3 linked regions of the Astyanax mexicanus genome follow. The protein of the gene in region 1 interacts with the protein of each later gene in a pairwise test. Links are inferred from orthologs where the notes say so. Each region holds a gene or a part of one and is shown in the gene's direction. Other genes may lie near its edges.

Region 1 (10,604 bases):
GAGTAAAATGAACATTATTGTTTTATTCTATAAACTACAGACAACATTTCTCCCAAATTCCAAATAAAAATATTGTTATTTAGAGCATTTATTTATTTGCAAAAAATGAGAAACAAATGCAGAGCTTTCAGACCTCAAATAATGCAAAGAAAACAAGTTCATATTCATACAGTTTTAAGAGTTCAGAAATCAATATTTGTTGGAATAGCCCTGTTTTCTGTTTTTTTAGTCACAGTTTTTTTCATGCATCTTGGCATAATGTTCTCCTCCACCAGTCCTACACACTGCTTTTGGATAACTTTATGCTACTCACTCCTTCTGCAAATATTCAAGCAGTTCAGTTTGGTGGTTTGATGGTTTGTGATCATCCATCTTCCTCTTGATTATATTCCAGAGGTCTTTAATTTGGTAAAATCAAAGAAACTCATCAAGTGCTCTCTTATTATTTTCCGCAGCTGTATACAGTAAAACTGCCACAAGAATTTTAAATATTTTTGAGTTGATTAAAATCAGTATAATGTTCAGTTTTCTTAATTTTGCCAATCTACAGTGTTCATTTTAAATTACTTTCTAAAAATATTTTTTGATTATTTTAAATCACTTCATGTGAAAATACATAAATTTGAGTAACACTTTACAATAAAAGTCACGATTAAGAGTAATTATCACAGTAAGAAATACTATTAAATAGATTACTGTTAAGTTTTTAATAACTGACACTGAATAAGACATTATTTAACATTATTATATATATATTTTTTATGATTAAGTAGTAAAAATGAAATGAGACATTAGTTTTAAAACAATTTGCTACGATTAATATATTCAGTATATTCAGGTAGTCAGCTGACCTCATTCTTTAAGCACATTCTGTTGCTGAACCTAAACCTGCAGACCAACTGCAGCATCAACCAACCAACCCCACATCATTTACTTACTTTACTTAAATCCAGGTGGAGACTTTTTTTTGGCCAGGCAGTGTATAATGAGCTTACATGTGTTTATACTTTACACAATGACAATTTTTGCTTTTTTTACTGTCCCAACATGAAAATAATTTGGTTTAAGGTCAGCATTTTACAAACATATCTATTCATACTTACTTTTTTTTACTCAGTTTTTAAATGCAATGATTTTTAGAACCACCAGGGGGTTCAGTCTGTCATCAGGAGAAGTAGAACTCTTTGTGCTTAATGCTCCTGACATGATATTCACATCATATTGTACTAATGTGTCTGTTATTAAAACCTGATCTAGATCTGATATCAGGTACCCAGTATAAAAACTTTTTCATCTTTTCATCAGGGCCAATCACATTAGGACATAATACCTGTCAGGTGGTAACCTTCTCATAAAAGGCCCAACCAGAATATCCACAGACCAGTAGTATTTTAATCTGATTTATGGGTATTTTTTTATTTCCAATTTAAGATTATTTTAAAATCATCATCAGACATGTTACTAATATATTGGTTGGTAAGAAAGTAATGGGTTCCAGGTGTAGAAGCCATTAGCCAATATGTACCCATGTAGTCATCAATATAATCTGGGTTATTATCATGCTTGGAAAGGATATAACATGATTATTTGTCCATGTTATATTTAAATTCCTGTGTTGATGTACAGTACCTCTCATACAGTGCCAAATTTGGACACACCTGCTCATTTTAAGTGTTTTTTTGTGTGTGTGTTAATTTTCCTACATTGTAAATGAATACTAAAGCCATCCAGACTATAGAGGAACACATAAAGAATAAACTTTAAGAAGCAAACTTAAGGAAAATGTGTTAAACAAACCAAATACTTTGCATTTAGATGCTCTTATTTGGTGTAATACCACTGATAAACTTATCCTATGCATCAGAGGAAACTTTTAGTCCTTTCCTAAGCAGTCCTGATGAGAGCCAGTTTCATTATAATTTTTTTTTATCTTTTTTTTTTTTCCCATTGTCTCCCAATTTAGGAAGGCCTATTGTCACATCCATTCAGCTGATGGGACAATTGATGGGACAACTAATGAGAGGAAAGAGAACCATCTACCCACCCAGAGAGAGCAAGGCCAATTGTGCTCTCTCGGGACTTCAGCAGCTGAGGGCAAGCTGCATGATCAGGATTCGAACCTCTGGACCTCTCCATTTTAACATTTTAGATGGTCTTTGCCACTGCACTTGAGGACACTTTTAAAGTTCTTGCAGTATTTCGGATTGACTGACCTTCCTTTCTTAAAGTTTTTTTTTTGGAGTAGAACATTGCTTAAATAGGGCTTTTCAGTGTATACCATCAGTTTTGTTGTGAAGAGTTAAAGTTGGTATACAGTGAAAAGCATTATTTGAGACCTATTTGAGGGAAAAAAAGGGATAATGGGGCAAATTAGAAATTGAGTTTGGGCCTAACACTGGCTTATTTTGTGCTTTCTTTACACATCACAACAGTGAACACAAAATGAAACTTTGTATTAGTATACTTTTCTTCATAAGTCTCTTTATTCTTAAGCCAAAATAATGAGGTAGAGGTAGAGTAGTATTGGAGTTTCAAGGGCAACTGTTCTGCCCCAGTCTGGACCAGCTCTGCAGACCTTGCATCAAGTAACAGTGTTAACCAACCACATCCCTCCGATGATGTGTTTACTACTACTCTCCCTCCCCGCACACGAGTAGAAACATGTCTTGTGGTGGGGCTGCTGAGTTTCAGTGTCTTCTAACACTGCAGACACGTGCAACTCTACAAGCTGAAACAGACTCTTTTGAAACTGTATTAAATGATTTGTTTTATTTCAACTTTTATTTTGAAAAATATATTCGCTGTAGCATTGTTTCATTAAGTTTTTCGCAAAGTCACAAGATGTATTTCAATTTAGTGTGCATTATTTTTTTCACCAAGATCTTCTATTAATTATGGTCTGACTGCTGCACAAAGCCTTCCCCACCACATCCTATAGATTCTCAATGAGGTTAAGGTCTGGACTCTGGTGAACTCTCTCAATCCATGTGTGAAAATGATGATCTCATGCTCCCTGAACCCTGAACTCTTTCACAATTCCAGCACCATCAATCCTGACATTGTCATCTTGGAATATGAAGAAAAAATCCATTGATGGAATAACCTGGTCTATATTCAGTATATTCAGGTAGTCAGCTGACCTCATTCTTTCAGCACATACTGTTGCTATACCTAAACCTTCAGACCAACTGCAGCATCAACCAACCCCACATCATTTACTTAGTTAATTTTTTTGTCCAGGCAGTGTTTAAGAAGCTCCAAAAAGAAACATAAATGATCCCAGACCAGCATATTACATTGTACAATTAAGCAGCTAGCATAATAGCATCTAATATAGCATGTCAGGCCCCTCTGACCTCAGTGTCTACAGCTGCTATTTTATGTGTGGTGCCTACACTACTTGATTTAACTTTACTTGTTTATTTGTTTTTCCATTACCAGGAAAATGTAGTATCTGGCCAGGGTGATATTAGCTAGCGGTTGTTCCAATATAGCTTGTTTTAACATGGTAAACGTGGAGCCTACAGTTTGATATACTTACATGTGAGCGGCAAAGGATGCTAGCACATACTGCAATTAGAGGCTGTGGCTAATGCTGCTCCAGTAATGCTAGCCGGGGTAAAAAACAGGCTACAGTCCGATAATACTCACCCCTGAACATCGAAAGAGCGAGCGTTTAGCGTGAATAGCGGCTAACGTTAACACTGCTCCAGCCTCAGGGCTGGAGACCTAAATAAAACAGCGGAGTGGCTTTACTGCTCCTTACAATCTTGTTTAGTAGCTCCTCCATTTCCACTTGCTGTTGTGTTTAAGTGGATCTACATGGAAATGCAGGCCCAAAGTGTAATTACGGTGCGGGACAGTGGACAAATAGCTATTTTATTAAACGCGAGGAGACAAAATTCAGAGATGTGCGTCCAGACGAAACTAAAATTACCTGAGGACCACGGAGTTCAGCTAAAAACAGTAGATAATTTAGCCTGTAATTTTCCTTTCAAAAGACATCTGAGAAAAACAAGTACATGGTCGTTCCGGATGGGAATAAAATCACAGAGGACCCCCCATAAAAAAGAAAATTACCCCTCACTGAGAGAAACGAATCCATCCAGATAGGGCTTTATAGTGTGAAAAATACATTAGGTGCCCACAACAAAATCTGCACAATTGCTAACACTACATTTGTTCAATCCACCTGTAAGGTCTATGAAGCTACTTTGTGCACACCTGTAGCACCCAAATGCCACACAGAGTTAAGAGGATGAGGGAGAAGCTACGCTAGCTTAGTTATTAACTCCACAGCACATTCAGCTAATAAATCAACTAGCGAGCTAACTACACTCGACCTTAAATCTCTTAAAAGCGTTCAGTGATCATACTGGCACGCTGTGCAGCGTTGCACGGGCTCGTGCCGTGCGGTTCACGCCTAATAAGAGCGCGGTAGCTGTGAGTGACACGGGGGAACAGGTCATCTTTTCTCCTCCCGTTTCTTCCATTTGCCCAACCCCCACATCGCACAAGTAACCGCCCTTCTTCATCCCCTTCAACCGAACCTAACAACACCCCCTCGCTTTTTTCCCTTTTTTCTACACGCACGCGCGCTACGCCTCGTGGGGGTTGTAGTTCCGCGCTTTAGCTTTGAACGACTCGAGCGGCTTAAAGCCAATGCATCTTTAAACTACAACTCCCATCAGCCAGTTCAGCCTCGAACTGTTCCTGTCCAATCTGAATATGTGGGCGGAGAGCGTCCGCCCACAAAAAAGCCATAGCAGAGGGTTTTTTATATATATCTAACTGTAGCTCCAGCTAATGCAATTGTGCATGAAAAAAAAAGTGTGATGGAGGTTTTTTATTTTTGCAATATCGCAGAGTGAACGCAGCGGATCCGGCGAGCGGCGAGACGCACCGGGAGGACGGGGATTATTAACGTTAAAGCTTGGCTAAAATAAGACTCACATAGGAAAAAAGAGCGGGGCGTATTTTTTCCTGCGTTCACTCGATATTTAAATACAAGTGGGTGGGCCTTAAACGCGAGGCTGGAGCGTTAGTTAACTAGCTAGCTGCTACAATAACTTGGATTTGGACGCGTTTCGTCGGAGGACAAGAGGAAAAAGAGGGAGAGGGAAGGCAGAAAAAGAGAAAATTCGCAGGCTGAAGAAGAGACAGACGCCCGCTTTCCAAAGGTACACGCTTCTGCTTTATTTTCCCACGGGCTGCCGTGTTTCGGTACCGCCCTTCCTTCCTGGCGGGGCTGGGTCTGCTCGTCACTGCGCGCCGTTTAGTGCTCAGTGCGGTCGGTCGGTGGAGCTACGCCACACCACCCAGCAGCCATTCGTGGGGAGGAAAAAAAAATAGGCCGTCCTTCTCCGGGCTTCTGCCTGCCTTCTGCTTCTGCCTCTGCCTCCGCGGCGTCCGGCCTTCTTTTTTTTCTCCCTCTTTAACAACTCCTCTCCGGTTTTATTAATGCGGGATGAGTGGTACGTACCCTCCCTCCCCGAGCTGTCGTCTCCACCCCTCTGTCTCTCCCCCTCTCCCTCTTTCCACACACACTCAAACACACATACATATATACACATACACACACATGCACGGACCTTCCCTCCCCTGTTTGTTTGGTTGACAGAAAATGGCTTTGTAAGAATGAACTTGGCTGCTGTCTTTCATGGCTAGTGTTTTGCTTGTGCAGTGTATATCTAATTAGCCATCTATCTATCAAACAATCAGGGGGGTAAAATGACGAGCAGGCAGCCAGTCATCTAACTAGCTAACTAACAGTTACCTATTATAACCTAACGTTATATATGCCCATCTCTGTGTTCCTCCTGTGCACACGTTTATTATATGTCTGATTATATATCTCATGTATTACTATCTTGGTTATAGCTAACTAGCTATCATATATGCCCCTTTCCGTGTTTCTGTGCTCACGTTTTACTATCTATGTAGCCAATATCTCTGATCCAGGACTGTCTATTTCGAGCTAGCTAGCTGCCTTTCTGTGCTCACGTTTTACCATATATCTTATCTATCTGTAAAAACAAATGACGACCAGCCAGTCATCAGGGCTGTCTTAGTTATAGAACGCTAGCTAGCCGGCGTTATATGTCCTTTTTTGTGTTCTTGTGCCCACGTTTTTCTATCTATCTATCTATCTATCTATCTATCTATCTATCTATCTATCTATCTATCTATCTATATATCTATCTATCTATCTATCTATCTATCTTATAGACATAGCTAGTTACTTAGGTTATATAATTATATTTTTAGAATTATATAATTATCTGTGTTTTTATGCTGACTATCTTATCTATTTAGGTTGGCTAACAGTTAACTGTTTCAGGATCGACTAGCTAACTAGTTGTGTTTATGTGCTCACGTTTTACTATCTAATTTATCTATCTATCCATATGTGAAAAGAACGACCAGCCCTCCCTCTCTCTCTCTTTCTTTCAGGACTGTCTATCTCTCTAGCTTTATGTTTCTCTCCGTGTTTCTGTCTGTCAGTTCAGCTCATTTCCCTGCCCACTACTGCCCACTAATGACCTGTTGGACTGAAGCCTGTCTGCCTGTCAGTCTGAAGGTTTCTCTGCCCGCCTTTAGAGCTTCCTTGCCCGGGCTGCTCTGCTCGGTCGGCCCGCTGTAGCTGTCACTAGCCTCCGCGCTGTTTTGACCCAGACATGATTTGGTTTTCGCAGATCAGAAGAAGGAAGCCATGGCCACGGACGGGGGGAAATCGGGTGGAGGTGAAAGGACCACCAAAGGGAAGACCCCCGGATCACAGGTTGTTCTTAACTTTGCGTTAAACTTTGCGCAGCCACTCATTTTCTGTCCCCGCACACACTTCCTGATTCAGTGCTGGGTAACGTTAGCTGGCTGCTAACTGACGTTAGCCGCTTTGCTCACTAGTTTTAGCTTTAGCTTTAGCTTCAGTAGCAACAGCAGTAGGTTAGCTAGCTTATTTTATAATTCATAATGGCATTTTATTTATTTTATTAATTATTTTTAACTTGTTGATTTATAATATGATTAAAATATTAGTTATATATTTTTTCCAGAGGGCATTTTATTTTTGTTTTGTGTAGGCCTGTCACAATACCTATTTTATAGCTTTAATGTTATTTTATCCCACATATAATTGCAGGAAATATATATTATTGTCATTTTGAAAACATTTTATACAAATGATATAGCGTTAATTAGCTTAATAATGATATACTAGCATACTAATTCATATACATCCCTTTCAAACATAGTAAACTTTTAGTTATTAATTAAAATGATTATACATTGAAATAGACTCCTGACATTTCTAAGCAGATATTTTAAATAAAAATAAATAAATACATAAAACACTTATAATTTTTGATCATTTTTAGCATGGCATCTCATCCTTGCTAATTAAACATAATGGTCCATATATTAGGCAATAAATCGATTATGTATTTTTTGTGAGAGGCCTATGTGCAGTTTCACAGCTGTAATGAATACATGCTAGCATACATTCCAGGGTTTATACTTAAAAAAAAAATAGCATAGCATAGCAACACTTTACCTAAAATAGAGTGATAATATTTTATTTAAATACTAGACTTAACATTCAAACTGGTTATAATTTCGATGTTTTTTTTTTATCACTGGGGTAATGTGTATTTAAAGTATTCACTGGCAAGTGTATCAATGCATTTGCCTCAAAGTAGTGGAAGGAAAATAATTAAAGCTATTTACAGGCTGTAGTAACAGGCTGTGATGTCAGTTTAAGCATTATTGTCTCACTCATGCATGATCAATATTATAAACAGAACAATATTGTATGATGCAATGTTGCAAAAATGGCTTTCAACAGATAACATCTATGCACCAAAAAATTGTAGCACAAGCATCATGGTCCACATAGTAACATTTAGATGCTGTTATGCTACTGTGCTGGCTACACTTCTACACATCTACAACAGAGCTTATAGCGCAACACACTATTGGTTCTGTCCAAAATACTCCCACACTTAAGATGCCAGAGGGCAAGATTTTAGCTGAATGTTCCTTGTTGTAGAATGCCTACTACCTAAAACGTGCAATTCTGCACTTTTCTTACTACATTTCTTACTAATAACTGCAGTTCTAATGGTGATGCTTAATTTTAACACATTACTTAGTGCGGTAGTTGTTGGTAACTGTTGGTAAGCATGCTTTTTAATACTAGGATGCCTTTTTACTATGTATTTATATGTCATTTTGAGAGCGTGTGTCTGTCAGTTAGTCAGTCATTTCTCTTCATTCAGTATTGCTGTGACCCAGTTTTGGCGCAAATTTCGTGTTGCTCATGCCCCTCATCGGGAAATGAAGAAATTGTAGTTCACAACCACCCACCCACTCTTCCTGTAATCCCGCCTACATCTGCTGAAACTAACAGCGTTTTTTTTTCCTCTGTGTGTGAATGTGTGATGTGTTTGTGTGTATGTGTATGTGAACAGGACGCACAGCCGTCGCCCCTCGCTCTGCTTGCAGCCACATGTAGTAAAATCGGAGGTGTAGGCGGGGAGGGTCAGCACGGAGCACAGCAGCAGATCATCATAGACCCCAGCCAGGGTTTGGTGCAGCTCCAGAACCCCCCTCAGCAGCTGGAGCTTCTGCCGGCCCAGTTCACAGGAAATGGCTGGCAGATCATCGCAGCCTCACCCGCTGCTGCCACCACCACCACTATGGCCAAGGACAACATGCAGACGACCAGTGTGGCCACTGTAGCGACCACAGCAAACGTGGTGGCTGTGGACGGCACGCAGGGCCGGAAGGTCAAAACGATTGGCGCCAACAATGCCAGTGTGGGGCAGCAGCAACAGCAGCAGCAGCAACAGCAGTTTCAGATCATCCAGGTGCAGAACATGCCCAATTCGACCGGAGGGATCCAGTATCAGGTGATCCCACACATCCAGACTGCTGACGGTCAGCAGATCCAGATAAACCCCAGCAACCCCACAGCCTTAAGCGTCCAGCCTGAGCAGATCCAGCTCATTTCTGCTGGGAACAACCAAGCCATCCTCGCCGCTCCACAGAGGGCGACCTCTGCCAGCATCGTGGCCCAGAATGTGAACAGTCAGGCCATTCCGCTGCAGATCCGCCCATCATTTCCGCTCCAGGTGCAGACGATCCAGGGCGCACAAGCACCAATGGTGACGACGTTACCCATAAACATAGGCGGCGTCACGCTAGCTCTGCCCGTCATCAACAATGTGGCTGCGGGTGGAGGATCTGTCCAGCTGGTCCAGACAAGCGATGGCAGCATTGCTAATGGCAACCAGTTGATTGCTACCCCTGTCTCAAGCGCAGTCAGTGGAGCAGAAACCGCAGTCGTCGCCACCTGCACAACTACGTCTGGCGTCGTAGAGTCCATCGTCACAACCACCGCTGATGCCGCGGCCACCGCCGCCTTGGAATCAGGCGTGGAGTGTCAGAAAGATGGCCAGAGCTCAGACGGCCAAGGCACAACCCAGTCTAATGGGCTTCAGCCCACGCAAGAGCAGCCAGCTCAGGTGCAGCAGTTTCAAATCGTTTCTCCCCCGATGTTGCAGCAGTTCCAGATCCAGCAGCCCCAGCAACAACAGCAACAGCAGCAGCTGGTCCAGGGCTCCATCCAGCTTCAGCCAGGCCAGACCCTGCAGCCAGTACAGCAGAACGTCCAGTTACAGGCCTTCCAGAACCCGGCGCAGGTCCTCATCCGGACACCCACGCTCACGCCCACGGGTCAGATCAGCTGGCAGACGGTGCAGGTGCAGAATGCCGCTATGCCCCAGCAACTCACCCTCACACCCGTGGCCTCCAACACTGGCGGAATTACACAGATCGCCCCGCTTACACTAGGGGGGACGCCTATTACCCTCAACACTGCCCAGCTGACCCCTGGGGCAGGGGTGCAGACCGTGAACATAGCCGGCCTGGGCACCACTGGGGTACAGGGAGTGCAAGTGCAGGGAGTGCCCCTCACCATCACAGGAGTGCAGAGTAAGACCCACATTGCTTTTTAACACTTTCTTTGAGCTTTGAGCATTAGAGAAGTTTGAATAACCACTCTGTCATTGGATAACCACTTAGTTATGAAACTTAATAATAAGTGTAATAAAGCCACAATAATTCAGTTCTATTTAATAGGGTGTTGTATCATTTGTTTCAAGCAAAACTTGTGCTTTATAGGGCCTTAATTCTACTTTAGCCACAAGCAAAAAAAGCTAAAGCAAATAAGCTAAAACAAAACAAACTGTTGTGTTAGGGGTGGGCAGTATGGCCCTAAAATAATATTACAATGTCACGTCATGGTATTTTCGTGATAACGATGCTCTTAGCAATACAAAGGCACAACTGCAACAAAATTAAAATTAAATATTATTATTGCATATAATATATGATACAATATGATATGGTACACCCCTAACTAAGATATAAATAAAAAGAAAATACAAGAATTTAATGAGACTTGTAACAGAAGTCAATGATCCAGAATGCCTTGATACTATATAATGGGAAGTGACAACAGTGTAAATTTATTTTTGCTAAATTATAATTAGCATATTTATTATATATGTATCATAGCATATAATGTAAAAGTGAAACTAAAT
Region 2 (10,866 bases), on another chromosome or scaffold:
CCTGATTAACTGAGGCGATGACTTAGGATGAACTGGAGCACCTCAAGGAACTCCTTCAAGATGCTAAGAACTTTTGACTGAAATGCATATTAAGTTGAGCAGATTTCTGATTTGGGTTTGTAATTGTAATCCAGTACACAGCACATACGTTTTTAAAAATAGATGTGCCAAGAAGCAATATTTAAAATAATGAGTTAGAAAAGCAGTTTTTGCATTCTTGTTGTAAGTGAAATATGAGTTTAAAAATATTTCTCAAGTTTAAAGAACCTCCAAATAATGTAGGACTCTGTATTAACTTCCTAGAACCATCTATTTATTCAAGCCAAGAACCACTTGAAAACTATTTAGGAGCTGCCAGTGAAGTGTTGTAACAGTATGATGGGTTGGTGTGCTGTTTCAAAATGTGTAAATACTTCCTACTCCTACTTCCACTCTTTAGGTTGTGTATTTACTGAGGTTTAGAGATACCAGGCTATTGTGAGGTCAGAGATTTACAACTGTACTTTTCAATTCTACAACAGTTTAAAATGCGGTTTATGGCCCTGGTCCTGGAAGGCCCCTTGTCCTGCACACTGCACCAGTTTCCTCTGCTTTGACACGCCCACTTTACCTCAGTAAGAAATAAGGACTTGTTAATGAATTACATTGTTGGGTCAGGTGTGCTGGAAGCATTGATAGATAGGTATCTCCAAAACAGCTACTTTACAGGAGTGAGATAAAATCTACTTAACTTTAAATTAAAGTGAATGTAAAAATAGTTTATTTCAGGTCAATTTGGAGCATTTCTATTGGTCAATTTATTTTTAAGAAAGATTTTGACTTAATGTTTAAGAATATTGTGTTTGCAAATTGCCTTTGTGTTTGCCTTTATGTTGTCAAAATGCTTATGAACCACTCATTAACTAATTCAGAATAACTCATTTATCACTTGTGAAGATGATAATTGTTAGATTGTGAATTATGTTAAGACTATAATTTTGATTAAATAAATATTAATACATGTTAGTTTAGTTCGGCTTTAAATGAGTATTAAAAGTCATGTTGGCTGAATAAATAATAATTCACTAAACTATAATTTGCATTAAATTAATAGTAAAACTGTTAGAATGTTTTATAACAAATAAAACATTTAAGTGTTCGGCATTAATATATATTTCTTCTAATTAAAATTATTTTATTATGTGCATCTGATATATATATATATATATATATATATTTATTTTCCTTATGTAAATCCAATCTGACTTTCTAGGCCTTAATGAGGCTTTGTGGTGATGTCCAATGCATATATCATGTGATTACTTACGGCACAAAACTAATTTCTTCACATAAATACATTATAAATAATTTATAAAGTTGTAATGAAGTCTTCGCTTTCGGCCACTTTTACCCAATTTCAGTGCTGCTATTTTTCTTGTTTTTTCTTTTATGGGTATTCAAGGGTCAGATACGTCATGATGCATCAGTTGTGCCCTTCAAATCACTTCATTTCACTGCACTTTGCTGTATGTAAGGGCTCTACACTTTAAAACTGAGTTCCATTGTGTATCACAGAAACACTGCAGACCAACTCAGCTGCACCCTAGGCATTGGAACACATATCACATTTTAAACTGAAATTACTTTAATTATGATTAATTTATTCTCACCCAGAACCACAAGGGAAGTAGTGGCTGTAGTTTGGCCCACAGTATCTCCAGGAATATTAACTCGGCATTTGATTCGCCTGTTTTCTCTCAGGGTCGCTTGCTTCAGTGTCAGTGTAGAGACTCGAGTGTTCACATTGCTGTCAATCTGGATTTTGCCCTCATACATTGGATCAATGTCGACATGGTTGTCATTGGAGTAGAACGTCCCAAAATTAAGCTATATTGAAAGGGAGAAGAGATGCAGTTTTGTTATTTGCAAAGAACCTTTCTATAGTCATCTGTTTTCTAGGAAAACTCATCCAAATGTTTTTTTTTCACACTTACCCCTTCATCATCAAATGAGCCATCAGGGTCAGCAGTCCATGAGATGATAATGAGATTATTCACTGGGTTTTTGGGCTGAAAAGTGCATGTGATGGCAACTTGGTCACCTCGAGCAACTTTATATGTGGATTGTGGAATATTAACTTCCAACCCAAAAGAAGTAGAAATCACTACGGAGAAAGAAACCAAAAGAAACCACATGGCAGGTGTTTTATAACTTATTTTTTGTAAAAACACAGAGCAGGCAATGCCACACAACACAATACATTTCATTTCTCTTAAATGAAGGCCAAAGAACAACAGATCTACAAACAATGGACAGATAAGACAGAATGCATTCTAGTTTTTCCTATTCGTTTTTGACAATTCCTTCTCCAGATAACATCTATAACACCAGCCAGTATCCACCACTCTAAATGGAAATCCAATAGTCATTACATGCACCTTTAACACATAGCTAAAAAATTATTTCCTAAATACAGCTTTATAATGGCTTTCCATTTATTTATTCAGGTGTGTTTTATGGAACTTTGACATTTTACTACATTGTTAGAAAAAATGTTCTATAAATTGTAACACTTGCAAAACAATTTTTGGTGTTTTCCAAAAAAGTGTTCCATATTGTTACAAGATAGAGCTATATAAGGCCATGCTTGCTAACAGTATAGCCTTAAATAACATTCAAATGTATTTGTTAAAGAATCCTTAAACAACCCCAATTAGAAATAATACAGAACTTTTTGTAGCAAATTTTTAGTTGATATTCATATTAAAATGTATTAAAATCAAAGCAAAATTTGTTTTTAAAAAAGTCGTTTGGCCTATTTTGCCCTAGTACTTCCGCTCTTTACCTTTTGACCCACCCGATATTCAAAATGAATGAACATGATTATTTTTTTGGTTGATCTATGTGCTTTTTAAAACTTTCCTCTCTCTGTCTTTTTTTCTCAAATACATATATTTCCACTTCCATAACATATTCTGTATATTTTCGGTTATTTTTACATATTATTTACACATAAGGAAATGCTGCTTGTCCTTAACATTGTGTAAAGTGAAAGTGGTTAAAAATGGTCAAAAATAACTGAAAGAAAATATATTTTCATTGATGTAATACTGACTAATATATTTTAATGAAAACATAATTACTGAAATACTGCTGTCACATTTGAACAACAAAACCAAGAATTTTGTTGTTTAAAAAAAATTACATTCAATACCATATTCATTAATGATACAAAAAAATAATGTATTCTAATATTACCTGAAAACAGCACCCCAATCCCACAGATTCTCAGTTTCCGCTTGTCCATTCTGCTCTCTCTGGTCATTTTATTTCAGTCCTGTAACAGAATAAATACTTGACGGTTTGGTGTCTGCACACTTCCTTATGACTGCTGGGTCAATAGGTGTGACAAATAAAACGGCTCCATCTGCACACCCTCACCAGCCACACCTGTTCACCCTTTGGACTTTCAGTGAGCGTCCCTTTGAATTACTATAAAAACCACAGTACTGAAGTTGTTGTCTACTTTCTGAGCATAAGAATGAAATATAGCAAGAGTATAAGAGTTGTGCTCATGTACATAGAGCCAGGTTTGCCCTCAATGATGGATTCCATTGTCTTCAAACATTTAACAAATCCCAGAAAAGCAAATCATTTTAGCAACAATAAGTATCTGCAGGCTGTAATTACATTTGTAAGGTGCCCAAGCTTTGGCACAGACTTTAATTTGGTCATTGTATTACTGTATATAATAAATTAATAATAATTGTCATGAGAAAAAAGAAACTGTGTTTTATGTGTAACTTGCTGCAAAGGTTGCATTTACTATATATATATTTTAGTATACTTTATTTTTTTAGTTTCTTACTAAGTCATACACATTCATCTAGATATTCAAAGCTACACCTATTATTTTAAATTGCCTTTCTTTAAGGTCTTTATTTCTTACTAAAGACAGTGCATACTGTAAAGACAAAAAAAACATAAATATGCTTATATATGCTGTAAAGTCACTTTTCTACACTCACTTCTGCCAAGTTAAATATTTTCCAGTACTGTGTAGGCTAATGTTTGGCATGTGGAATAGTAATGAGCAGTGTATACTAATTAATATACACTGGGTAATGCTTGTTCGGTTGTCTGTAATCTGTTTATTCCCCCATATCCCCTATATAACAGTATTCAGGCTGCCTCATTGAGATACATTGTATTTTTCAGCAGTTTTTACCTCCAATTTCAGTCTAACACTCCTCATCAAGCCAAACAAGCCCTTCTGAAGAGATGAATGAGTTGGATCAGGTGGGGCATATTGAGGTTGGTGTTCTGAACGATGCATAAGCTGTTCTATCCAGCAGATGGCACTATATCATTGGTATCAATTATTATTATTTAGAAGTCTGAGCTAAGTCTAAAGTAATGAGTAAACTATGGAAATAAGTAAAATTGGTAAACTGAGCAATTAATCCAACCTTTTTTGGATAAACTCAAACCACTTGGATTTTAAAATTACATGTGCAATTGATTAAACAGCAAGAATAAATGTGGTTAAAAAAAAGGGTCAAAACAAAAGTCATAGGGACAGTGGACTCTTCAAAGCATTACTGACCATCAGTTAATTTTTACATTTCATTTGTAAATCAAGGGAGCAGAGTCTGGAGGAAGAGTGGAGACACACAGTCCAAGCTGCTTGAGATCTAGTGTGAAGTTTCCACCAATCAGTGATGGTTTGGAGAGACATGTCATATGCTGGTGTTGATCCACTGTGTTCTATCAAGTCCATAGTCAGTGCAGTTTTGTTTTCCCTCTTACAGCACTTTATACTTCCCTCTGCCGACAACTTTTATGATGCAGAGATGTAGATTTCATTTTCCAGCAGGACTTAGCATACTGCCCACACTGCCAAAAGTACCAATTGGTCTTATATAATATTTAAATTTTCTGAGACACTGATTTTTGGGTTTTCATTGGCTGTAAGCCATAATCATCAACAATAAAAGAAATAAACACTTAAAAGAATTTAACACTCTGTGTGTAATACATCTATATAATATATCAGTTTCAATGATATTCAAATATTTTGAGATGCACTAGTATGTTTTGGCCATTGGGTGGAGTTGAACTGTTGTGAACTCATCAGTTGCCTAAAGAATGGCATTTTACAGGAATGGTAAAGGTCAGGTTACACTATTGAAGACCAAAAACAGAAAACTTTCCACATTGTCTTTTTACAGGATTGCTGGACTGCAAAATACACTGCCTGGCCAAAAAATAAAAAAGTCGCCACCAAAAACTAATATTTAATTGGACCGCCTTTGGCTTTGGTTGCAGAATAAGAACACATTCATTGTTTTAATAAGATTCTGCAACATCACAAGATTTATTGAAATCCAGTGTCGCTGCATTAATTTTTCACCAAGATCTTGCAGTATTGATGATGGTAGAGTCTGACCGCTGCACAAAGCAGCTCTTCTCCATCCAGCACATCCCAAAGATTCTCAATGAGGTTAAGGTCTGGACTCTGTGGTGAACTCTCTCAATCCATGTGTAAAGAAAATTATGATCTCATGCTCCCTGAACCCTGAACTCTTTCACAAATCCAGCCCCATGAATCCTAGCATTGTCATCTCAGAATATGGCCGTGTTATCAATGAAGATGAAATCCATTGATGGAATAAGCTGGTCTATAATATTCAATATATTCAGGTAGTCAGCTTTCATTCTCATTCTTTCAGCACATACTGTTGTTGAACCTAAACCTGCAGAACAACTGCAGCATGAACCGCACATTTACATTGCATTCAGTAAACTTCTTTTATGGAGTGATGAGTATCCTGGTGTGTATGAGTGTGTGTGTGTGTGTGGAGGTTCATTCAGCATTCAGAGGTGTGTGAGAGAGTGTGAAGTTCACTGCCACTCTGTGTGTGTGTGTGTGTGTGTGTGTGTGTTGAATGGGGCGCTGCTGTTGCTGCTGCTGTTGGGCTGGGATCTGAGTTTAAATATTCAAAATGGCGGACGGAGGAGCAGCGAGTCAAGATGAGAGTTCAGGAGCAGGTAATCATTACTGCATTTTACATATTCATATTCATATTCAAACGCTCTTTCTCTCAAGCCCGTTAAGCGAGAGGGGAGCGCGTGAACAGAGCCCCCGGGGCCGCGGCGGCGGCGGGGTCGGGCTGTCTGTCGGCCGCTCGGTGCTGGGGAGCTGTCGGCGGTGTGAGGGGGAAAGTGGCGATGCTGGGCGACGGAGAATTAAAGGCGAAAATCCCCCTCTTTGTGTGATTAGAGCGGAGCTGCGCGACTTACATATTCATATTGCGGCCGGGAGAACGCGGTTTAGCATATTTTATTAGTAATCAGCGGCATCACAGCGGGTTAGTATTATTATTGTTATTTACTCCGGTCCCAGTCCGAGCCCGCGGTTGTGGGGTATTATCCCCCCGGTGTCGGGGCACAGAGAGAGGGAGAGAGAGGGAGCCGGGCGGCCGGTGTTCTGTCGAGTTGTGCTACCCTGGCAAACCATGCTACTCTAGTGTAATTATATTTAAACGTAAAAATGCAAGAAAAAGACCCCCCAAAAAAATGCCTCGCTTGGAAAGCTTGAATCAGCATATAAGGACACAGTTTAAAGTTAACGTTAAGTTAATAGGGGTGATATGCATAACCAGTAACGTATTTTTGTATTTAATGTTATATTTAATAGTTTTTTATTATTATTCTTTTTATTATTATCAACTTTTTATTATTATCCTCATTTACACAGTTGTAATACTCTATACTAATACTGGCAGGTGCGTCTGGTTGTTTAACACACCCAGTTAGAACAGAATTGCTATTAAAAACATACAAATAAAAATAAAAAAGTGGTTCCACGCATGCGCACTGGTGTTGAGAAGCACATTTCGATGAATAGCACAACTTGGCAGGACACCGGCGCTACGCTAACGCTAAGGCTAATGCTAATGCTAATACGGCGGCTTTGTGTGTTTGTGTATTGTGTGCTGGGAGCCTATGGCTGATAAAAGCTTTGCATATTCATTTCCTCGCAATCGCTCGGCGTCTGCGCGCAGTGTTTACAACCGTAAATGTGATCTGCCGAGCGGCGGAGGGCTGCTCGGTGCGGGCTGAAGGACAGGGGAGCTTCTAAGGCTGATTTTATGTCCATATTTTGTCTTCTGCCTTTGTGTCCCACTGCAGCAGGAGAAGCAGGCGTGTGGCCCCGTTGTGTGTATATAGCTATATGTGTGTGTTAGCTAACCTAGCTTAGCTAACTAGCTATTCATGTGGGCCTGTTGTTGTTGGCTGTTACGTTAAAGACAACAGATGTGCAGACACTTAAATTAATTTAGCTTAAAGAAAAAGGCCTGCATTTATCGTAAACCTGTCTTTCAAAGGCCTTACAATTTCATCGACAGTAAACACTACTTAGGATTCATTTTGTCTAGTTATATTTCGCAGTTTTTCTATTTGATATGCAAGTTAGCTAAGTTATCTTACTTATTTAGTTAGTTAGTAGCTAATAACTGAACTATCTTTTTATATTAAGGGTTATTAAGCCTAAATGTAATGAAAACTGGTTACAAAGCCCCAGTTTTGCACCGAACCTTGTTTAATTGTATTACCTAGGTTATATGAACTTCCAGTCCCATTTTTGTTTGTGCAGCAGTGTGAACCTAGCCAACTAGTTAATTAACAAACTAATATTTAATATATTGGTCATCAATAAATGCAGGAAAGACTTATTATAAAGGCTGAAACGAATGTCTAGTAATTTTGGGGTTGTGAAAGTGGTCTTAATTTCGTCTTTGATTTTATTCCCCCATACCTGCAGATAAGGGGTGGGCAATATTATATCGTATGCAATATATCGTGACACAGAAATAACATATGAAAAATCCATATCGTGATAATAGGGCTGTTCTGTCTTAAAAGTAGTCTATTATTTACTGTGAAGCGTTAGGTGTATTATTGTATATTTGTTTTAGTTTGCAGTTTATATGCATGCACTAAATATTCTGCAGTATTATTTGCTGCATAATATGTTCTTGTGCACTGGTAAGCTTATCTGGCTACAAGACCCATTTTTGTTTGTGCAGCACTGAATTAACTAGTTAACCTATTTTTTTAGACATTGGTTTATCAGATGATGCAGGGAAATATTATTATAAAGGTTGTAAACTAATGTGAGGCATACTAATGCTGGGTTTGTTAAAGTGGTCTTAATTTTCTCTGTGTTAAAAAGTCCAAATTCTTTAATTTCTTTCCCCCATACCTGCAGATAACATGTAGTTAGAGCAGATAAAGACTACAGAGCAGATACTGTTCAGAATATTCACACTGAATAACTAGCTAAATCCCACAATGACACACTCCCAGATTAGCTATTTATCTATCTATGCCTAAACAGCTAGAATAACAGCTAACTACATTGGCTAGCCTCTCTTGTCTCTCTTTGTGTTGGTGGATATTCACCTTTTAAAAACAATTGTAACACTACATTGTTTACACCAGGCCAAGCTAGTAGAGCCAAATTAAAAGGTGGGCTAAATAGGTTGTAGCTAGCTTAGCCCATTTCATGGGTATGTATACAGCTGACTAAACAGTTCATTGAGTTTTCTGCAGGCGTTTTAGCCAATATCTGGAGTAGGTTATGCTGCCAGTGAGCTGGGCTCTATTGCCCTATTGTAGCCGGGCAGCTGTTGCTGCTGCTGCATATGTAGCAGGCCAGCTAGCGGCTGAATGAATTTCATTAACTTAGGCCTGAGCAGCCTGGACAAGAGGCAAGCAGTCCACTCGCTTCAGTTTCACGCTTGTTTCTTGCTGATACAGCAATATACAGGCCTTTTTTGACTCCCTATATCCTATCCTTTTTTCCTTAAATTCTACATTTTCAGGCACCAAAATTAAACTAATACACAAATGCATTTAAGATGGACTGTTAAGTGAGCTAACTAAGCCAAATTTAGCTTTACAAGCACATTCAAGTCTTGTAGCCAAGTTTGTAAAACGTTTGCTGTATGTGTTTTACTTCCATAACATAGATTACAATTTTATTCAAAAACCCAAACAAAATACATTAACATGAATTAATTCATCGCTGTTTTACATTTTACAAGCCTCTTTATACTTATAAATGCTTATTGTATTTGAGTATCATCTGAGGGTTTTTCTTTCTTTTATTATTTATTTATTATTATTTTTTTTTTACATTTTGCTGTCTTCTCTTTTTTTGCCCCACATTTCACATCTCGCCATCATTTTAATATCCTTGGTGTTGTAGCCTAGCATGGACATTTGGCTGATTTATTGTAACAGTTCACTGACTTTTGCCTCTTTCTCTTTCTTTTCTCTTTTCTCATGTTTTTAAAGTGTGTCTGTTGCTCTCCTGTAGCTGCATGGGGGAGGTGTTGGTTTGCGATTAAAGAATGCATAGGCTTAGGCCCATTAGCCTAGGGCCTCATTAGAAAGTCTAATGGGACGTGCCAGGAAAAAAAAAAGAGAGCCGCTGTCCCGAAGGTAACGCGTAGACCTGCTCTGCTCAGAAAGATGTTCTTTTATGTTTGTATCGAGCCCGGCCTGTGAGAAGCTGTGGCAAGCTGAAACACGTCTGTGTGTTGCGTTAATAACTTATTGCTGTGCATGAACAACTGAGGTGGATTTCAGTCATGTTTTTGTTGCATGTAACTGGGGAGGGAGTGTTTCAAAGCTGCCTGTAAGAGCTGAAAACAAGTGGCAGCCCCATTACTGAATGATCTGAAAGACTCAAACAAAAGCCTCCCAAAATTAATAGACTGAGGGATGAATGAAACCAATACCCAGGAACACAGCAGCAAATCTAGCTTTTATCAGTGAGAAATAGCAGCATAGCTGTGTGTAGTTTTAGAAACTGTGGTACTGTATTGTATTACAGTATTTTAGTACATTAGTTCATGTTTTGACACAACAAACATGCTTTAGTGGCCATACTTAGTACCATTCAGTGATTTTTATTTACATTGTGCGGCATTACAAACAATTAAATTGGACAAATCTCACATTCACTGTAATGAAGCATGCTTCATGCTTCTTTATTCATTGACAAAACCCATTATGTACTCACAAAGTATATTCTGCATCATGCTAACAAAATACTGTCACATTCCCCACAATAATTGTGGTTTAAAATGAGTTAATAAAGTGTTTTCTATTTCTATTGATGCTCTGTTCACAGTAAGACTAGATTAGAGGGCACCGCAGACAGTACATACAGAGAGCTTGTTTAATTATGAATTAAGATGACATGATGATGCTTTATTTTCCACTATAAATATTGATTTGTTAGTAATCTGCCAATATAGCTCTCTCATGCACTATTATATTCTCATATCACACTTCGCTTCACACACTGTTTCAGATTTGAACAAATAGATTTGTTCCAGACTTGGATTTATATTTATTTCTTTTTTTTCCATCTGATCTGGCATTTTTGTTTGAAATCAGACCCATCAATACCAATTTGTTATGTAATCACTGGATCATTGGTCCAGTGTTTAATGGGGCAACTGGTTATTTTTAGGGGTGCATCAATATTGGGTAATTTTTTTGGTAGAATATGGGACTATATCTACCGAAATTCGCATTCCAGATGAATATAGGATTTATTTTGTTGCAGTTAGTTCTGATCTTGTTGTGTGATTGGCTGGGAGACACTATGTAAAGGCCAAACCACGTTTAGTGTTCCTCTTAAATGTCAGTTTGGCTTAATTACCTGGAAGTCTTCTAAAAAAAAAATGGCCAAGTGTAACAGATCACAGGTAACAAGCCTGTCAACAACAGCAAACTTATAGAGTCATTTTCGTGGGAATTGATTGAGCTTAGTAATAGGCTAATTTTTTTATTTTTATTTCAATA
Region 3 (10,818 bases), on another chromosome or scaffold:
TGTTGCAGCAATAGCATAAGGTCATTCAAAAGCCTTGTGAAACTCTGGTCGAGGGCATGCAAAGATGCATAAAAGCTGAAAATCAGGGCTATTGCATCCTGATTTTTTTTTTTTTTTAAATGTTCAACTTAGTTTCTTTGAATTATTTAGGAGTGATTCCACTATTTTCACCATTTTCTGCATATAAATGCTCTAAATGCTCTCATTTTTTAATTTAGAAAAATGATCAGAAGTTTATAGAATCAAACAACAATGTTCATTTTATATTTTTATATTTTTTGTTTACAAAATTCCACATGTGTACCTGCATAGCTTTCAAAGAAGCAGAATATGTTTTATACTTTTAGATTATTCTAAGTAGCACATTAAGCTTTGAGGACCGATCTGCACACTCTTGGTATTTTAATCTTAGTGTCTTCATGAGGTAGAGTCACCTAGAATAGTTTGCTCAGTTTCTTAAAGAAGCTCCTGGAGGTACTGAACAATAGTAGTTTTTTCTTCGCAGGATAATGGCTTGTTTCAACAATGCACTCCAGCTCATCCTAAATCACCCATCTCAGTTGGGTTTAGATCATATAATTTGTTTACTACGTAATTCCATACGTGTCTCTCTTAATTGTCTTTAACATTGATGTAAAATAAAAAAAAATGATGGTTTGTCAAGGGATCAATAATTATTTCCTTTACTGTATGTATATACACTGCTCAAAAAAATAAAGGGAGCACTAAAATAACACATCGTACAGTTGCAGGAAGAATGGGAACACTTTGGGATTACTTGGATTTCTGCATAAATTGGTCATTAAATGTGTCACAATATACAATACAATAGACATACACAGTCTGCTTAAACTTATATTTTTTGGGAGGATATGTTTGCATGGTTTTATTGAATACAGCATGTTAACATTCACAGTGCAGGGTAAAAAAGTATGTGAAGCTTTGGATTTAATAACTGGTTGATCCTCCTTTGGCAGAAAAACCTCAACCAAACATTTCCTGTAGTTGCAGATCAGACCTGAACAGCAGTCAGGAGGATTTTTTAACCATTTCTCTTCAAAAAACTGTTTCAGTTCAGCAATATTCTTGTTATATCTGGTGTGAATCGCTCTCTTGATGTCATTCCACAGCATCTCAATTGTGTTGAGGTCAGGACTCTCCAGAAGGCGTATTTTATTCAGTTGAAGCCGTTCGGTTGTTGATTTACTTCTATGTTTTTGGTCACTGTCCTGTTGCATAATCTATCCTCTGTTGAGCTTCAGTTGATGGACAGATGGTCTAATGTTTTCCTGCAAAATGTCTTGGTTAACTTGGGAATTAATTTTTTTGATGACTGACTGCAATTCGTCCAGACCCTGAGGCAGCAAAGCAGTCCCAAACCATGGGTTTGATGATTGTGCGTTGTGACCTTTTTCTCCACACATAGCATTGTGTGTTCCTTCCAAACCACTCAATTTTGGTTTCATCTGTCCACAGTTTATTTAGCCAGTACTGCTGTGGAACATCCAGGTGCTTTTTTCAAACTTCAAATGTGCAGCAGTGTTTTTTTGGACAGCAGTTCAACAGTTTAGACAACTTCCTCAGTGGTGTCCTCCCATGAACTTCATTCTTGTTCAATGTTTTCCTTATTGTAGATTTGTCAACAAAAATGTTAGCATTAGTCTTCAGCTGACCCTCTCAGATTCTCTCTCACCTCATTGATGATTCTGTGCTGTGCTCTTGCAGTCATCTTTACATGATGACCACACCTAGGGAGAGTAGCAACAGTGCTGAACTTTCTCCATTTGTAGACCGTCTCTCTTACCGTGGACACAAACATCAAGGCTTTTAGAGATACTTTTGTAACCCTTTCCAGCTTCATGCAAGTCAACAATTATTGAATGCAAGTCCTCTGAGAGCTCTATTGTGCAAGGCATGATTCACATCAAGCAATGCTTCTTAAGAACATGTGTGTTTATAGGGCAGGGCAGCTTTAACCAACACAGCCAATCTCATCACATCCTGGCTCCAATTAGCTCTTAGGAAAGTTATTAGTCTAGGGGGTACTTTTTCCCCCTCACTGTGAATTTTAATGTGTTCAATAAAACCATGCAAACATATTATTTTTGTGTGGTATTAGTTTAAGCAGACTGTGTTTGTCTACTATGTTTGTCTATTGTCTATTGTTGTGTCTTAAATATCAGAACACATTTAATGACCAATTGATGGCAGTCACGGTACCTCTGGCGAGCACATGGAGGTCTGTTCAGCCCTCCAAAGAAATGCCTTCTACATCATTACTCACCCACTGCCAAACCGGTCATGCTGGAGGATGTTGCAGCAGCAGAACATTCTCCACAGCATCTCCAGACTCTGTCACGTCTGTCACATGTGCTCAGTGTGAAGCTGCTCTCATCCATGAAGACGAATGATGAATCTGCCAAGCTTTGTTTTCTCTGGCAAATGCCAAACGCCCTGCACGGTGTTGGGCTATGAGCACAAGCCCCACTTGTGGAAGTTGGGCCCTCATATCACCCTCATGGAGTCTGTTTGTAACAGTTTGAACAGAAACATGGATATTGGTGGCCTGCTGTAGGTCATTTTGCAGGACTCTGCACTGCTCCTCTTAGCGGTAGCGGTCCTGCTGCTGTGTTGTTGCCCTCCTACGGCCCCCTCCATGTCTCCTGGTGTACCGGCCTGTCTCCTGGTATCTGCTCCATACTCTGGACACTGTGCTGACAGACACAGCAAACCTTCTTGCCACAGCTCGCATTGATGTGCCATCCTGAATGAGCTGCACTACCTGAGTAACTTCTGTGGGTTGTAGACACTGCCTCATGCTACCTCTATGGTGAGAGAACTGACAAAATGCAAAATTGACCAAAACAGAAAAGAAGAGAACAGAGAAAAGGTCTGTGATCTCCACCTGTAGAAACACTCCTTTTATAGAAGTTGTCTTACTAATTGCGTTGTTATGGTGTTGCCTTTATATATATTTATATATATATGTATATATATAAATATATATATACATATATATATGTGTATATATATGTGTATATATATGTGTATGTATATATATATATATATATATATATATATATATATATATATATATATATATATATATATATATATAATTTTGCCACTGACAAAGACATTAACAGTCTATAATTTTAAGGGTAGGTTAATTTTTCCAGTGAGAGATAGAATATTAAAAATAAAATCTAGAAAATCACATTTTATTAAAAAGAAATAGGTATTTGATCCCCTACCAACTATTAAAGAGTTCTGGCTCCTACAGACCAGTTAACCAGACGCTTTTAACTCATTACTTTCATTAAAGTTACCAGCATTAAAGACAGCTGTCCTAAATGGTCACCTGTATAAAAGACTCCTGTTCATAGATTTAATGACTCTATAACCTCTTCAACATGGACAAGACCAAAGAGATCTCTAAGGATGTCAGGGACAAGATCATTGACCTGCACAAGGCTAGAATGGGCTACAAAACCATACATAAGGCGCCGGGTGAGAAGAAGACAACTGTTGGTGCAATAGTAAGAAAATGGAAGAATACAAAATGACTGTCAATCGACATTGATCAGGGGCTCCGTGCAAAATCTCACCTCATTGAGTATCAGGTAAAAGATCAGCCTAAAACTACAGGGGCAACTTGTTTGTGATCTCAAGGAAAAGTTGCCAAGTGACAGCCTCAAAATCTTAATGATTTAGGGATGATCTACAAAGAGGAGTGGACCAAAATTCCTCTTGACATGTATACAAACCTCTATACTTAACTCTACCTACTCAATTTCACACTGGATTTCTCCTTTAAAGCTATTAAACTGTTAAGGTGTGAGATTTTGATTCTAAATTGATTTAACATTTAGTTAACAAGAAAATTAAAAAGTGACACACTGCACTTTTATGTGCCTTTTTTTAATAATTAATTCTGTAAAACCATTCTGTTTTATCATTCAGCACCTGTTTTTAATTAAAGTGAGAATGGTCTGGACCTTGTGCTTCTGCCATAGGTCATTATTGAACCACAGCAGATCTGAAACAGAGATCAAAATGTTACAGAGTAACAAATGAAACAGAGTAACAAAATGTTACTTAAAATGTGGTAACAACTAGGTATAGTGATTCATCTTTTTGCATGTTATATCAGGTTTATATCATTAAACTTAATAAAAATGTTAGTTAAAAGCCAACACAAGTAAACATAACACAGTTTTTAAATAAAAAAATTTTTATTATTATGGGGGGAAAAACTACATGGCTCTCTGTGAAAAAGTATTTGCCCCTAAACCTAATTATTGGTTGGGCCACCTTTAGCAACAATCAATCAACTGCAATCAAGCATTTGCGGTAACTCCACAGAGCTGTGGAGGAATTTTGTCCCACTTTTCTTTACAGAATTGTCGTAATTCCACACATTGAAGGGTTTTCGAGCATAAACAGTCTTTTCAAAGTCATGCCACAGCATCTCAAAAGGATTCAGGTCAGGACTTTGACTAGGCCACTTTTTAGTTAACCAAGTGGACTTGGTGAGTTTGGGATCATTGTCCTGCTGTAGAACCCAAGTTTGTTTCGGCTTGAGGTCACAAACAGATGGCTGGACATTCTCCTTCAAGACTTTTTGGTAGATTTATGGTTCCATTTATCACAGCAAGTCTTCCAGGTCCTAAAGCAGCAAAGCAGTCACACTACAACCACCATATTTTACAGTAGGTATGATGTCCTTTTTCTATATGCTGTTACTTTTATGAAAGATGTAATAGACACACACCTTCAAAAAGTTCAACTGTCTCGTCTGTCCAGAGTACTCCCAAAAGTCTTAAGGATCATCATGTTCTCTGGCAAAATTGAGAGGAGCATGTTGAATGTTCTTTTTGCTCAGCAGAGGTTTTTCGTCTTGCCACTCTGCCATGCAGGCCTGCTGTTCTTTGGATGTTGTTGTGGGGTCTGTTGTAACCTCTCAAATGAGTCATCACTGCACTCTTAGTGTAATTTTGGTCAGCTGGACACTTCTAGGAAGGTTCACCGCTGTTCTACATTTTGCCATTTGTGGCTAATGAAGTTCCAGAACTTGCTATATACCCTTTTCCATACTGATAGATCTCAATTACTTTTTTATTTCTTTGTCATTTTTATTGGGATATTGACAGGATGTCTAGCTTTTGGGTATCTTTTGGTCTACTGTACTGTCAGGTCTTATTTAAGTGATTTCTTGATTGAGAACATGTGTGAAAGTAATCAGGCCTGGGTGTGGCTAGAGAAATTAAACTCAGATGTGGTTAAACCACAGTTAAGTTGTGTTTTAGGGGGAGGCAAAGAGTTCTTACACAGGGCCACGAAGGTTCTCCCTTAATAATGAAAGACCTTCATTTTAAAAACTGCATTTTGTGTTTACTTGTGTTGTTTTTGATTAATGTTTACACTTGTTTGATAATCTGAAACAACCTGTTTTCAATTATCAAAAATATTTTAGTGTCATCAGGGCAGGTGACCTTCAAGCGTGCTAGGAGCAGCCCCATCACACACTACTCACACACCCTGATACATACTCCACCTTGCTCGTACACAGTACTTGCTGTAATAATGAAACATAAAATCTGAGATCACATGAAAACAACAATTAACCTGCCCTTTAGGCGCTCCATACTTTTAAGTAAGGTTTTAAGTAGCAATGTCTTCTTAATTTTTATATATATATATATATATATATATATATATATATATATATATATATATATATATATATATATATATATATTTATTTATTTATTTATATTTATATATATGGGATGGGGGTGTCACTGGGATTAAGAGTAGGCGGGGTTTAGCCTGCAGTATGTGGACCACTGAGCTGTCTGCTACAGAATCGGGTGCGCTTTCTGTTCTTTGTCCTCCATTACGACTCTGATTCTCTGCTGTACGGCGCAGGCCCGAAGTAGCGCAGCCGCTCTGAGGTTAGTACCCTACCGCGCAATCGCCAGCTATATTAGCCCCGGCGCAGCCGCAACAACACCCCGGCAGCGGAGGGCTGAGAAAAGGCGGATGAGCGTGTGTTGATGCGGAATAGAACGGGACATTTTGGAGTTTTTGAGCTGTTTCTGGGAGCAGCAGTATTAACACTGCGCTCCTACAAATAAAACCTATGTCGCATTTGCCGGCCTAGGCCACTGGTTAGAGCTGTGTTGGTCTTGTGATGGCGGGTTAGAAATAACTCGGAGCTAACAGCATTAGCTGGCTGTGGGCTGTAGCTGCCCGCTTCAGCAATAACGCCAGAGAGACTGGTGACCCGTTTGTGGGACAGCTAGCTACACTGACCCTGGAATTTACTAAAGACTGCAGGATGGGAAGCTTAATGTAACAATGTTTTATTGCCTTTTCTCTTTGTACTTTGCGTAGTTAGCTAGCCAGCTAGCTTAGCTAGCATTGTCTGTTAACTTACTACAGGGCACAGTTAGCTATCCTAGCTAGCATGTTAACAAGCAAGCCAAAAGAAGAGCTTACAAAAATTCACCGACATATTTAGATCTCGTTTAGTCCGTTTTAATCTAATCTACTTTCGAAAATTGTTTGCCTTTTAATAAGAACACAAAAATGTACATATGGTTCGCTAACGTGTGGCTTCTGAATGCTAGTTAGCTAACTGTCACAGCCTGCTATTACCCCATACATTACGTTACTAGTTAACTGGCCCTGTTAGTAGTTAGTAGCTCCATGCTCGCTTCAGGAATGAGACCTGACAGTCGTGCAACCAAATTAAATGATTAGGTTACATTTTATAGTATTGTTGATTGTAATGTTTGAGTGTTGCTAGCATTAAGTTAACCTATAGACCCCATTAGTTGGCTAGCTGGCTGTTTGAAGTAAATAGACATTTTTATTATAGGGGTGTGTGGACCAATTATTTATTATTACTGCATATGAAACAAAACAACTTGCACTGTAGGTAGGCAAACATGTAATTTTATTTTTTATCTAAGGAAAAGCCAAACGATTAATTAAACCTTACATATAGCAGACTAATAATCAGTCAAATGTGACATTTTAAATTCTTTTAAAATATAAATTAGATTATTCAGCCATTTCAGTCGTCTACACTCAGATGCTTGCCTTTGGTTTGTTTTCAACATATTCTCATCAACCTCATCACTGTCAGGCTACAATAGTCTTCAGAGTGCTGCTGTTTCTGCTCGAAGTAAATGCAATGAACAGACGGAAGCTCCATGTAATAAACATAAGTCATTAACAGATGCTGTAAATACTGTAAAGTGGCTTGCTAAAGTATTCATACCTCTTGTTTTGTACTTCACAAATCTGGGCTTTACGGAGAAGTGGCAAGAAAAAAATAATTGATAAAAGAAAAACATAAGAAGTGCCGGTTTAAATTAGAGAATATTCTTGTTAGTCCTGACCTAAACCCCATTAAGCGTTTGTGGCAAGACATGAAAATGACTGTTCACAGACTCTCTCCATCCAACCTGAGCTATTTTGCAAAGAAAAAGGGGCAGACATTTCAAGCTGTAGATGTGCAAAGCTGGTAGAGACATACCCCAAAAACTTGCAGCTGTAATTGCAGAGAAAGGTTGCTGTAATAAGTATTGATATAGAGGAACTAAATACTTTTGTGTTACAATTTTCAGATTTTTATTTGACTTAAAATGTTTAAAATTACATATATTTTTTGTTTCAATTCACAATTATGTGCTACTTTGTATTGGTCTTTTATTTAAAACCTCAATAAAATCCATTTAAATTTGTGCCTGTATGGTGAAAAAATGTGAAAAAAAGTTCAAAGGGGTATGAATACTTTTTCAAGCAGCTGTATATCTCCTACAAGCCTAGGTCATTTTTATTAGTGGTGTGCACTTTTAACCCTTCAGAGAAGTGGTGACAATGTAATACATAATATTTAATCAGGAAATATATATTATAGTTATTGTAAATTGTAAGCATATATTTCATAAATGATCTAAATAAAAAAAACAGCAACCAATTCAGGACAGTCTAACCAATCAGATTCATGATTTTCACTACAGGGGTGGGGCCATGGCTGTCTAACCCCTCCTTAGCGTTCTGATAAGGGGGCTATGCATTGGTTAGTTGTACAACAGTTGTGAAATGCTTAGTTTGATAGTTAACTATCCTGTTATCGATCATCTATCATGACAAATATTGTGTAATATCTAATTAAAAAGCATTTTAAAGGCTACATTTCAATGGGAAACTAATTCACAATAATAGGCCACCTGACTGGTGAGTTTTTGTAAATACTTAATGTTTTGGCTGCCCTGGCGTACTGTAACCTTACAAAGGAGTGATCTTTGTTGAACGGCTGTTCTTGTAGGAGAATTAAGCATTGATTGTTGTGGTCTATTGTATATGGTACTGTTGTCTTTTGTAGCTGTTTTTGTGGGCTGTTATTGTGTATTAAGTTCATATTACTAAGTCAAGACAGAATATGTAGTTATTGTAATATTCATCTATGTGTAGACTGGGTGGGGTGTTGCAGAAGGGGTACCCACTGTATTAACTGCACGCCACTGTTTTTATATTAGAATCTAGGCTAATCAAATATGTCCTAAAGAGGAACTACACTTAGACATTTTTACATTAATATATGTTGCTGTGTAATGATTAAATATTCCAGCCCTGCATAAAATGCTTACAAATTAGATGCAAATATTAACAGAATTTAGATATTTTATCATAATTTGATCAGATGATTTTGCTGCTTTTTGTTGTACCACTCTTGTACTTAACTGTCATGTCCAAATCACATTGTAATCTGAACTGTAATTTTTGCATATTGTGATAGCCCTACAGAGGAAACAGTGTACAGCATTAAAATCTAAAAACTATATGCAGTATGAAAAACCACAGCTAAAACTACTTATCAGATCTGCAGTTTAGCTACTTTTTATGTGCATAAATATGATGGCAAGATTGGACTTGATTTCTTTAGTGAGTTCTGTGAACTGTTCTATTTCTAGCGCAGTTTGAGTGACTTGTATTGTTAATAGACAAGAAAATAAGAATTTGGTGTTCAGTTTCATTTTCTGGATGTTTTTAGAATCACACCTACAGCACACCTAATATTTGGTTAGTTTTCCCTTACCACGAAAACTTTGTTAGATGCTTAAACATGTAAACATGGCCCATCACCTGTCTTGTATTCTAACGTTTTTATAGGGAGTATACTTGTTTTACCTCTGCCAAAAAAATACTTCTAAATCTGGGATTGTGCAGATATAGTGTATGTCCTAATCCAAAGTTAAAGTTAAAGTTTAGCTAACTCATCAATAGCATATGAAGGCACACAAATAGTCCTGTTACCAGCTACCACAAATCTATCCTGTGCAAATGTTTAGTACAAAAAATGTCAACATGTTAATTTTGATTAATTAATGTAAAAGAAAAAATAATGTATATAAAATAACTCTGAATAAGGGCTTTCCATGGTGCCCTTTGAGCCAGTGCTACATTTCAGTTACTGTAAGAGATGATAAACATAAACAAACTGGCTCTGCTTGGCCACCTTGGCTTGACCAGAGTAACATACTGTCATCTTACATACAATACAGGCCAAAAGTTTGGAAACACCTTCTTATTCAATGCGTTTTCTTTATTTAAATAATTTACATTGTAGATTCTCACCAAAGGCATCAAAACTAAGAAAACACAAGAAACACAAGGAATGGACATTAGACCAGTGGAAATCTGTGCTTTGGTCTGATGAGTCCAAATTTGAGATCTTTGCTTCCAACCGTCATGTCTTTGTGAGACGCAGAAAAGGTGAACGGATGGATTCCACATCAAGTGCTAAACACCTCTGGGAACTCCTTCAAGACTGTTGAAAAACCATTTCAGGTGACCACGTCTTGAATCTCATTGAGAAAATGCAAAGAGTGTGCAAAGCAGTAATCAGAGCAAAGAATTTTAAAGAAACTAGAATATGTTTAAGTTTATTTGACCTTTTTTTGTTAAGTACGTAACTCTACATGCGTTCAATTATAGTTTTGATGCCTTTAGTGAGAAGCTACTAAGTTAGGCTGTTAGCTCTAAGCCTATGGCTGCATTCTGGTGATTTGAGGGTAGTAAGTGAAGTTAACTTTAACCATAATCATCATTTCAAACCACACAGCACGATCAATTTATTATCAAAACCCAGAACCTACTTATCTGACCAGCACAGTGTAATCCATCTGTTATCAAACCCCAGAACCTAACAATCTAACCAGCACAGTATTGTCCATCTGTTATCAAACCCTAGAATTTACTAATCTAACCATCACAGCTCCATCTATCGGTTATCAATCCCCAGAACCTACTAATCTAACCCGCACAGCGCCATCCATGTGTTATCAAACCCCAGAAACTACTTATCTAACCAGCACAGCACCGTCCATCTGTTACCAAACCCCAGCAACTACTTATCTAACCAGCACAGCACCATACATCTTTTACCAAACCCCAGAAACTACTTATCTAACCAGCACAGCACCGTCCATCTGTTACCAAACCCCAGAAATGACTTATCTAACCAGCACAGCACCGTCCATCTGTTATCAAACCCCAGAACCTTCTAATCTAACCAGCACAGAAACATCCATGTGTTATCAAACCCCAGTATCTACTAATCTAACCAGCACAGTGCCGTCCTTCTGTTATCAAACCCCAGAATTTACTAATCTGACCATCAAAGCATCTTCCATCTGTTATCAAATACCAGAACCTACTAATCTAACCAGCACAGTGCCGTCCTTCTGTTATCAAATGCCAGAACCTACTAATCCAACCAGCACAGCATCATCCACCTGT

Evidence for each region.
Region 2: the proteins of sp4 (region 1) and pou2f1b interact in binary tests that used the Homo sapiens proteins (3 or more experiments, as listed by UniProt). The two-hybrid records come from large-scale screens. The link is inferred for Astyanax mexicanus from reciprocal best matches to the Homo sapiens genes SP4 and POU2F1.
Region 3: the proteins of sp4 (region 1) and nrf1 interact in binary tests that used the Homo sapiens proteins (3 or more experiments, as listed by UniProt). The two-hybrid records come from large-scale screens. The link is inferred for Astyanax mexicanus from reciprocal best matches to the Homo sapiens genes SP4 and NRF1.

Annotation. Positions count from the first base shown.
Region 1 is NC_064410.1:3,087,821-3,098,424, forward strand, and holds the start of sp4 (transcription factor Sp4), read left to right. Parts: upstream 1-5,236; 5' UTR 5,237-5,467; coding exon 5,468-5,474; intron 5,475-6,695; coding exon 6,696-6,781; intron 6,782-8,468; coding exon 8,469-9,993; intron 9,994-10,604. UniProt on the Homo sapiens protein: Binds to GT and GC boxes promoters elements. Probable transcriptional activator.
Region 2 is NC_064418.1:5,045,766-5,056,631, reverse strand, and holds the start of pou2f1b (POU domain, class 2, transcription factor 1b), read left to right. Parts: upstream 1-5,920; 5' UTR 5,921-5,984; coding exon 5,985-6,030; intron 6,031-10,866. Other genes in the region: gpa33b (cell surface A33 antigen), read right to left, coding at 1,650-1,866, 1,974-2,143, 3,238-3,304. UniProt on the Homo sapiens protein: Transcription factor that binds to the octamer motif (5'-ATTTGCAT-3') and activates the promoters of the genes for some small nuclear RNAs (snRNA) and of genes such as those for histone H2B and immunoglobulins.
Region 3 is NC_064409.1:27,674,195-27,685,012, forward strand, and holds the start of nrf1 (nuclear respiratory factor 1), read left to right. Parts: upstream 1-6,029; 5' UTR 6,030-6,343; coding exon 6,344-6,357; intron 6,358-10,818. UniProt on the Homo sapiens protein: Transcription factor that activates the expression of the EIF2S1 (EIF2-alpha) gene. Links the transcriptional modulation of key metabolic genes to cellular growth and development.